Daphnia pulex: one gene and its partner. The protein of the gene in region 2 interacts with the protein of the main gene of each other region in a biochemical or structural test. Links are inferred from orthologs where the notes say so. Each region holds a gene or a part of one and is shown on either strand. Other genes may lie near its edges.

What was found.
Region 1: of the proteins of serine/threonine-protein kinase WNK2-like (region 2) and serine/threonine-protein kinase OSR1-like, one has a biochemical effect on the other in vitro, tested with the Drosophila melanogaster proteins (2 studies listed by BioGRID). The link is inferred for Daphnia pulex from reciprocal best matches to the Drosophila melanogaster genes Wnk and fray.

Annotation. Positions count from the first base shown.
Region 1 is NC_060026.1:7,355,837-7,360,400, forward strand, and holds the start of serine/threonine-protein kinase OSR1-like, read left to right. Parts: upstream 1-1,502; 5' UTR 1,503-1,594; coding exon 1,595-1,614; intron 1,615-1,638; exon of another isoform or gene 1,639-1,693; coding exon 1,694-1,751; exon of another isoform or gene 1,752-1,825; coding exon 1,826-1,894; intron 1,895-1,963; exon of another isoform or gene 1,964-2,180; coding exon 2,181-2,235; intron 2,236-2,345; exon of another isoform or gene 2,346-2,429; coding exon of another isoform or gene 2,430-2,463; coding exon 2,464-2,511; intron 2,512-2,976; coding exon 2,977-3,089; intron 3,090-3,153; coding exon 3,154-3,248; intron 3,249-3,317; coding exon 3,318-3,473; intron 3,474-3,527; coding exon 3,528-3,693; intron 3,694-3,749; coding exon 3,750-3,851; intron 3,852-3,909; coding exon 3,910-4,043; intron 4,044-4,102; coding exon 4,103-4,188; intron 4,189-4,255; coding exon 4,256-4,447; intron 4,448-4,513; coding exon 4,514-4,564. Other genes in the region: serine-enriched protein-like, read left to right, coding at 70-222, 286-319, 386-483, 547-685, 753-1,018.
Region 2 is NC_060019.1:867,079-871,330, reverse strand, and holds the start of serine/threonine-protein kinase WNK2-like, read left to right. Parts: upstream 1-1,310; 5' UTR 1,311-2,593; exon of another isoform or gene 2,594-2,673; 5' UTR 2,674-2,715; coding exon 2,716-3,738; intron 3,739-4,252. Other genes in the region: E3 ubiquitin-protein ligase Topors-like, read left to right, coding at 1-405, 487-682. UniProt on the Drosophila melanogaster protein: Serine/threonine-protein kinase component of the WNK-SPAK/OSR1 kinase cascade, which plays an important role in the regulation of electrolyte homeostasis and regulatory volume increase in response to hyperosmotic stress.

The DNA of each region.
Region 1 (4,564 bases), on a different chromosome or scaffold from region 2:
CGGGAGAATGTGCAATGTGCTGCTTACGATTATGATTATAGCAACCATTGTTGTTGTATTATAGGAGTGATGAATGCGGCTGACTATTACGGACTGGACGAACTGCGTCGATCGTGTGTAGGTTTTGTTCAGTGCTGCATCAATGTCGACACTGTTTGTGCCCTTTTGGCTTCAGCAGAACGCTACATCCAGTACAAATGCACCAAATCTCTAGTTCAAAAGGTTTTATGCGCATATATTTTCAAAATATTCAAAAAAATTTTAATTTTACGTTTTTTCTTTCAGGTTTTAGAATTTGTTGATGAACATGGAAATGAAGGTAAACATTCTATTTAAAATAGCTTCGTTCTTCGTAATGCACAATTAATTTCAAATTTCTCTCTAGTATTGAATTTGGGATCATTTACACTATTGCCGCAACATGTTGTCCGTCTTGTTCTGTGTCGAGATGAACTCAAAGCGGATGAATTCACAAAATTTCAAGTAGTTTCATTAATCACGTCAAAAGTCGAATATCGTATTATTTATATGTTATTAATCCTTTAGGCTGCTTTGATGTGGTCGAAAAAATATTGCGACAGTAATCCCAACATCAGCCTAAAAGAAACGTTGTCCAACTTTTTAGAATTCATCCGATTTCACCAAATTCCAGCTAATGTTTTGATGCGAGAAATCCATCCATTGGGTACGATTTACTTTAAATCCATTTATAAAAATTGTTATAACCTTAGCGTTTCCGGTTATATCTGTAGGATTGGTACCAGATCATTTAATCATGAATGCATTGGCGTACCAAGCCGATCCGACTTGCGTAGACCCAGCTAAATTGTCACCTACTCCGCAACGTGGCGGTAGGAGACGATCTCAAGCCCGTTCCATGTCAGTCCAGTCGTCACTCGATCCGTACGGATCGTCCACCACGCTCAATAGCGAAAGCGCTTCTTCTGAAATTGAGTCCAGTCCTCGCTTAAGTTCCGATGGAAGTCGAGGTTCACCATTGGGGCGTCTCTCTAATTAATTTATTTTTGCTGTTAATACTCTTATGCACTTTGCCCAAAACAGAGTTGTAACTATTAATTTCAACGTATGTATGTATATGTATGTTTGTATTTTTTGGGGTCAAACCATAAGTATACGGTGTATGAATTTGTCGAACGTACAATTAAAACGCATAGGTCGTCCCGTCAATCACGCTGGGCCAATCACTTTAGTATTCTGGTTAAGACAATGGCGACGGTCCGTGAATGAAGATTATGGTGCGGGGCGTCCTCATCTCCATTGAGGTCAATTTTCAATGCCGTTCCAAAAATTGAGTTCTAATTGCGCAGTTATTGAGTGTTATGGGCTTCACATGACCTAAAAATGTCAGCACAATACCGATAAAATTTTTATATGCCAGTCATTAATTCAATTTCGTGAAGAACCTTGTGTAGTGTAGAAGAATAACTATCAGCCAATCATCTGAGCTAGTCAACCTAGTATATTAGTGGATCAAGTGACGGATTCTACAGATCTTTTATGAACAGTACGTTTCATTGGTCTTTGATGAATGGACGTTCTGTGGCGTCGCTCTAGTAGTATAAAATTCGTCTAAATGAAGAGTTATAGAAAAGGGTACGGTAACATTTCATAACGTACATTATGTTAGTCATTTGGGTCTCATCTTCGTGACGCACGTTATCTTGGGTTACAGAAACTTCACGTTGGAAATTCTTCCCAAGTCGCCGTCGATGACGTCCACATCCCTGGAGGTAATTGCCTTAATTGGTGGCCGGAATTCTCTCATGGAGGATTTATTGACGAGCATATGGGGCTGTTTGCTTAGGTTTTCCGTCGTCGAAATTCTGTGCTGGAATACGAACAGCACTTTAATGACCATCTTCCGTCCTTTCAGGTAATGAAACCTTACGCTTCGTTCTCGTTTCACTAGCCCTCGGCGACCACTCGATTGTTTATTCTACAGATCCCACCATATATACACCTTTCCTATCTGTTCCGCATATGAATTTGAAAAGAGGACAGACACGTAGTACAGAAAGTGGCACGAATGACTCCAAAAGTGTTGGTCAGTTCGTCGCGAGCTTGTGAGTCGTTCTAAAGTCCCTTAAACAGCACCACCGGATAACCGATTTCGATAGTGAAAGAGAGATTACTGTGATAATTTAATTATTGCAATACAGGGGGACGAACTGCGTTCACAGCTGGAAAACGATTGTACAAGCTTGATAAAAAAAGGTAAGATATAGCGTGGATTATGGGGTTAATTCGTAAAGTGGGCAGCAAACAGAATTTTGACAGAATCGAAAATCTAGAGTTCTAGAACGCTATATCAAACTCGACTAAAGTTTCACTTAGGTGCTCCACAAGTACATTGTCATTCATCAAAAAATAAACAAAATTGGACATAATAACACATACATTGGATTTTCATGGCGGAAAATAATTCACCAAATTTAACGTCAGTCGGCTGGCCAAATTCCAAGGATGACTACGTCTTGGCCGAAGTTATTGGTGAGAATCTTTACTGTCGTAATTTTGGGGGACCAATGTCACTAATGGTGGACGATTTGCCTTCGAACGTCAGCGTTCTTGTAATACCTATTCAGCTTAAAGAAAACTTACTCGTATCTTTTAATATTTGAAGAATACTAAAATCAAATTTTAAAATGAATGATTAAAAGAAAAAAAATTAGGTTTTTTTTTTCATTTTTTATCTGACACAACCTAAAAAACTAATACCACTCTCAAATGTCAAAACAATGCTGTGACTACTAGGTCATCTCTGTTTGCTAGAATCTAGTTCTTGGCCTACATTTATAATATTAAAAACATTTGTGTAAAGTACCAATGAATTTTCTAGTCGTAGTTTGTATTTTTTGTTAGTCAGTAACTAAAAGTGACATTTCTCGAAATTAGCTAGGTGTGGTCATATCTAAAGTTTGGGCAACTGATAAGATATTACTATTGTGTTCTTAGGTGTGGGAGCCACAGCGGTTGTGCATTCTGCCTTTTGCAAGGCCCGCAATGAGAAATGTGCCATCAAGCGAATCAATCTAGAAAAATGGAATACAAGCATGGAAGAACTCCTAGTAAGTTTCATTTTCTCTTAGTTTATAGCATCACAAAATGAATAATCTCTTATTTTTTTTGTAGAAAGAAATTCAGGCTATGTCTTCCTGCCATCACGAAAATGTTGTTACATATTTTACATCATTTGTTGTTGGTGAAGAACTATGGCTTATCCTCAGGTGAGTTTTTTTTTTTTTTTTTTTAAATTTTATTCTTAGGAGAGAATTCATAACTTTAAATTGGTTTAGACTTCTTTCTGGAGGTTCACTTCTTGATATAATTAAACATCGAATGAAGGCAACTGATTGCCGTCACGGTGTTTTTGATGAAGCAACCATTGCCACAGTACTAAGAGAAGTTCTCAAAGGACTCGAATACTTCCATAATAATGGCCAGATCCATAGGTAATTTTTCTGAATTCACTATGCTGTAGCATTATTACAAATTGCCATTTACAGGGATATTAAAGCTGGAAACATACTGTTAGGGGAGGATGGTACAATTCAAATCGCTGATTTTGGAGTCTCGTCTTGGCTAGCGACAGGTGGAGACTTGAGCCGACAAAAGTCGAGGCATACTTTTGTTGGTACACCTTGCTGGATGGCACCAGAAGTCATGGAGCAAGTAAGCAATAAAATATACATTCATTCGTTTCTCCAAATTCATAGCTACTATTTTAGGTGACTGGTTACGACTTTAAAGCAGACATCTGGTCTTTAGGGATCACCGCCATCGAATTAGCTACGGGCACTGCACCTTATCATCGCTATCCTCCGATGAAGGTAAATTCTTTTACACTGTAAATAGTTGAAAATTGATTAATATTAAATTTTATGTTAGGTTTTATTACTTACTTTGCAAAATGATCCTCCTTGCCTAGAAACTGGTACAGAAGAGCGTGACCAGTACCGAGCTTATGGCAAGAGTTTCAGGAAACTCATAGTCGATTGCCTTCAAAAAGATCCTACTAAACGGTAAGCGTTTTGAAAATGTTTGAATAATTTCCGTAGTGTAATATTGACTTTTGATTCAGGCCAACTGCCACCGAGTTGCTCAAACATCCTTTCTTGAAGAAGGCAAAGGATAGAAGGTACCTGGTACAAACTTTGATTGCCCAAGGTGATTTCACTCAGAAAAATGTTTAAATTTCTATTTTCAACATAATATTTTCTCTTATTATTTATAGCTCCTTCTTTAGAGGCTCGTTCTCAGAAAAGTCGCAGTTACCGAAAGGCCCCTGGAGCATCCGGCAGATTGCACCGAACTGAAGCGGGAGACTGGATATGGTCTTCGGACTCGGAAGATGAAGCGCACTCAAATGATGAATCTGACGACGAGCCTCCGTCAGAAAAACCTCCAAATCCTCTTATTCAAAAGGGTAAATCATATAAATGTATATTTAGAAATTTTATGGGTGTATTTGAACTAACAAGCCCCTCCTTAGAGCTGGCCCAACAACAGCAAAGTGATTCTAGAGCTTCCGATACGCATTTAT
Region 2 (4,252 bases):
TCCCCAGCCAGGTCCTAGTGGGATTGGCCGAAGTTCTTCCGCGGTGGTTATCGACGATGGTCAGAGTTACTCCGCCATGCCGGGTCCTTCCAGTTCAGGAACTAGACCATCAGAGGAGGATGAGGACGACGACCTGGACGTTGAGATTGTGGAAGTAATCCGTCCGTCTTCCCCCCTGGTGATAACGCTATCGGAATCGGATGAGGAACGGGAAGAAGAGTCGGAGCGAAACGAAGCCAGCTCTTCATCCTCTCGCGGCAAAGCTCTCAAACAAAAAAGTTCCCCTGGCAACAGAGTTAATGCACGCAAGGAGCCGCAACAACGAACAAAGTCCGCCAAAAAGAAGAAAAGGAAGCGCGATCGATCTCCGACTTCGCCCGTTGAAACGCCAAATCTAAATACCAGGTATTCCTTGCGGATGCTCAACGTCAATCGCCAACAAGATTCATGATGTCCCCTTATAACCCCCACTCCAAAACAACACAGAGCTCGTTTCAGCCGAGAAACGGAAGAGAACAATATCAACGATACCAGCCCGGACCAGTCGTCTCGTTTATCCGGCGGAGCTGCTGTCCGCTATTGGGATATGGATCCGGAAGAGATACGGCGCCAGCTGCACAACGACCGGCCCCATGAATCCAGCGGAAGCAAACGTCGGCACAAGCGAGACAGATTCAATTAACCAAGTTCTATGCTACAAAATTACATTTGATTTGAATGTTCGAGGCTCCTCGACTACCTTGAACCGATGGAGATACAACAATGTTAACCAAGAGACTGATGGTTTGATGATGCTTTCTCTTTTTCTTGATTGTTTTGGTTTCAAATGGCTATCGTTTTTCGTCTAGCCTCTTCTTCCTTCATTGTGTGCATGTTTTGTGTTAATCTGAACCTTGAAGATGATTTAGCTGGAAAAGGAAGTTTGCCAGCCACAAGCGTCCCAAGAGTTCCGGTATTTGTGTGTGTGTGTCCCATCAAGGCTAAGAGCTACTTCAAAGTGGGAACTGATGTAATCGAGTGTGTATATCCCCCGACCCAAGAATTATTTTTGCCTAAACACAAAAAAAAACAACCATGGCGTGCAAACATTCGCAAAAATCCCGGCAGCGCCAATTAAAAAGAATTAAAACAATTTCAAACAAGAAAGCGAGTTGAAAAAGAAAAGCACACACAGCTGTTGTTGGTTTGGCCCGTTTCTCAAGGTTCTATATCTATACAGCCATAGTTCGTCATCTGATCCTCGGGATTTGGAAAAGAGAAGAAGAAAAAAAAAGAGGTCGTTATTATTGACACGACATGGTATAAGCTCGCTCGTCGTCTACTTCTGGCGCCCGCCTGACGGGCGTAGAGTTCGTTCGGGAATGGCACTGTGTGTCGCCGGATCAGCTGGCGTTGCTATTTAAAACAAAGTGTGTGTTGTAGTAGTATCCTAAATAAGTGGACCGGGACTGGTTTATTATTCCCTTAAATGAAATAGAGTTTCAACGTTGCAATTCCTTTTCAGACACGTTGGTGATTCACCGGAAGAAACGACTACGTGGAATTTTTCGCAAGACCTTGCGTGATGGCGGCGAATTCCCTTGTTTTATGGCCAAACGGTTTTTTCTTTTTTATCAGTGGCACTCACGTAACACAAGAGTAGGAAAATTGAAGTTGTGGTGTTGTTTTTTTTTTGCGCTTTGACCTTGGGGGTGGTAGCGCCAATCAATGCCTTTCATCTATTTGCACGCGTGACGTAACGGTCGTACGCCAATAACACCCCCCCACTTGAGTCAACAGCGTCAACATTTTTTGGCGCATAGGGAAAAATAAAATACAGGGAGACCTTGGGAGTAGGAAAGGCTCAAGGTGATATTCTGTACAATCCGCATATCGCGCTGAATCGGGAAGCAAAAGCTTTTTTCGCGGAAGTGTTTGCTGTGGGTGTGTGTGAACAACCCCTGAGACTGACGGGAAAAATATCAGACAAAATATACGTTGTAACTTTTTGCCCTCGTAATGGCTTATTCTGTGATCCTTGATCCGGGATTTATTTATCGTCTAGATTGTACCAGTTTTTTTTTTTTTTAACTATCTCTGATTAGTGTTGCAGCCATTTTTGTTCTTCTTGGGAATTTTTGTTCTTTTCCAGGGGCGATAGACTTCCCAAGGACATCCAAGGTTGTTTTTCTCGACCGCTAGATGGCGTAGTCATGTCTGAGAAAAATTAAAGCCCCCTTCCCCCATTCGTCTGTGACCGTCTGGTGCGAAAGCAGACAAGGTACCATGCATTTCTGAGTACAGCAGCACTTGACTGTTTGCCTCTGTGAGAATCACACCACCGTGAATCGCAGTGTGTGAGAGAGACAAGACAGAAAGTTTGAGAGAGAATCAAAAAAGAGGCGGAGTTGTGTTATAAATTTTTTCCGTCGTCACACACAAAACACAATCTGATATAAATGGACCAGTTGAAGACATTTCAAGTTACAGTTTGGATGCCGTAATCCACGGAGGCGGTGGTATGAGTGTGCTTCCGTTCGTTAGTGAAACATTTTGTTTGTGTTTTGACGTTTCCGTGGAATTCTGCCCACTTCCTTCCCCCGTCACTAGCAACGTAATAAGAAACTATGCAGAACGACCTCGAATTTACAACCAAGCTTTAACAATCATTGTGTGTCCTTTTTCTTGATTTAGTGCACAGTGAGGAGGTAGCAGCCTGTGAAGAGTGCCATCACCATGCCGAGAACTAAAGCTATCATGCCCAATAGGATAGCCACCAAGGCAAGAGAGGAGTCTGAGAAGGGGCTCGGGGAGATATTGGGCAACCAAAGTCGTCAGATGAACAACACCATCAGAACAGTCTTCCAGACTCACTGCCAGTTTGACGAGCCCAGCCCTAAACTGGTGTTGGGTGGCAGGAGTCCCAGTCAGAGTCCTTCACGCAGCAGTGGCAGCTTCATCCCAAACAGAAATCCTGCTTCCAGGCCGCCCAGTAAGACCAGCAGTAGAGAGCACCTGGCTTCCGTTTCACCCAGGTCTACCAACAACACCCAACCTAACAATACTCCTCTAGGTAGGATGGAGCAGTCGTGGCCCCCACCTTCTACGACTCCTGGAAAACCTGGTCCTTCCAAAAGTGTGGAAGCCCTCAATCGTCAAGTCAAAGCTGTCAACAGCAAAGTCTCTAAAATCCCCTCACACAACGTGGCAGCCAGACCCAGACCAGGCATTACGAACAAGATCAAGAGGCAAAACAGTGTGTCAGAGTCTGGTTCCCCACCGTCAATCAAAGCAGAGGAAACTGCTGCTGTTGCTACAACCAGCAGCAGCAAATTGGCCACAGACTTGATCAACCTGTCCATTTCCAAGACGCTCTGCCAACAACAGTCAATTGATCAGGACTCTGAAACAGTCCCCAGTCAGCCCAAGTCAACTGAGCTGGACTCTGTGCAGCAGCCCCAGCCGGACGTCAAGGAAGAAGTAGAAGAAGAAGGCAAGAAAAACAGCCTGGAAACGATTGCCAAAACGGACTCGCTGCCTGTCGTAGTAGGCGGTGGTCATCGTGAAAACGGTCACGAGAAAGAGGAGGAGAGTGACGAGACACACGCCACCGAAGACAACGAAGAACAGGCGGTGGCCACATCGCCGGACGAGCGTTTCCTCAAATTCGAGGAGGAAATTGGCCGCGGTAGTTTCAAGACCGTCTATCGAGGACTTGACACGCAAACGGGAGTTTCAGTCGCCTGGTGCGAACTTCAGGTAAAAAAGAAACTAAAACTAAACTAAAACTAAAAAAAAGGAACGAACGAGACTTGGCCGGCTTTTGTTTATCGATTGTAGGTTTATTGGCCAGTAGTAAGGAAAAAAGGGAGATGTAGAAACACGAAACCGAGTAACGTGAAACTTTTTTTTGGCCATTGCAACGTCGTTTTGAAAAAGTTGTCGACCTTTGTCACGGGATCAGAATAGACGATCCATCACGGTTTTTTTTTTGTTGGAATCGTTGTCTCACTTCCGGCTACTCCTCCTCCAAAAATCCGACGTTTGGTTCGTCGTCTCGTTATGACGTGGACCAAAGGGTTGGTTCACGTTTTTTTTAAGTGTCTACTACCAGCGTCTAGCGGCCTTGGTTGTGCACTGCGATGCCCTTCGGATTTCTTTTCCCCGATCGCAACGAAACAAAACCATCTCTCGTTGTCTATTTTCATTTGAAAATGAGTTATTTTTGTGGGTTAGGCAGACTGTCGGGAGCGCTTCAAGCTTTTTACTAGAC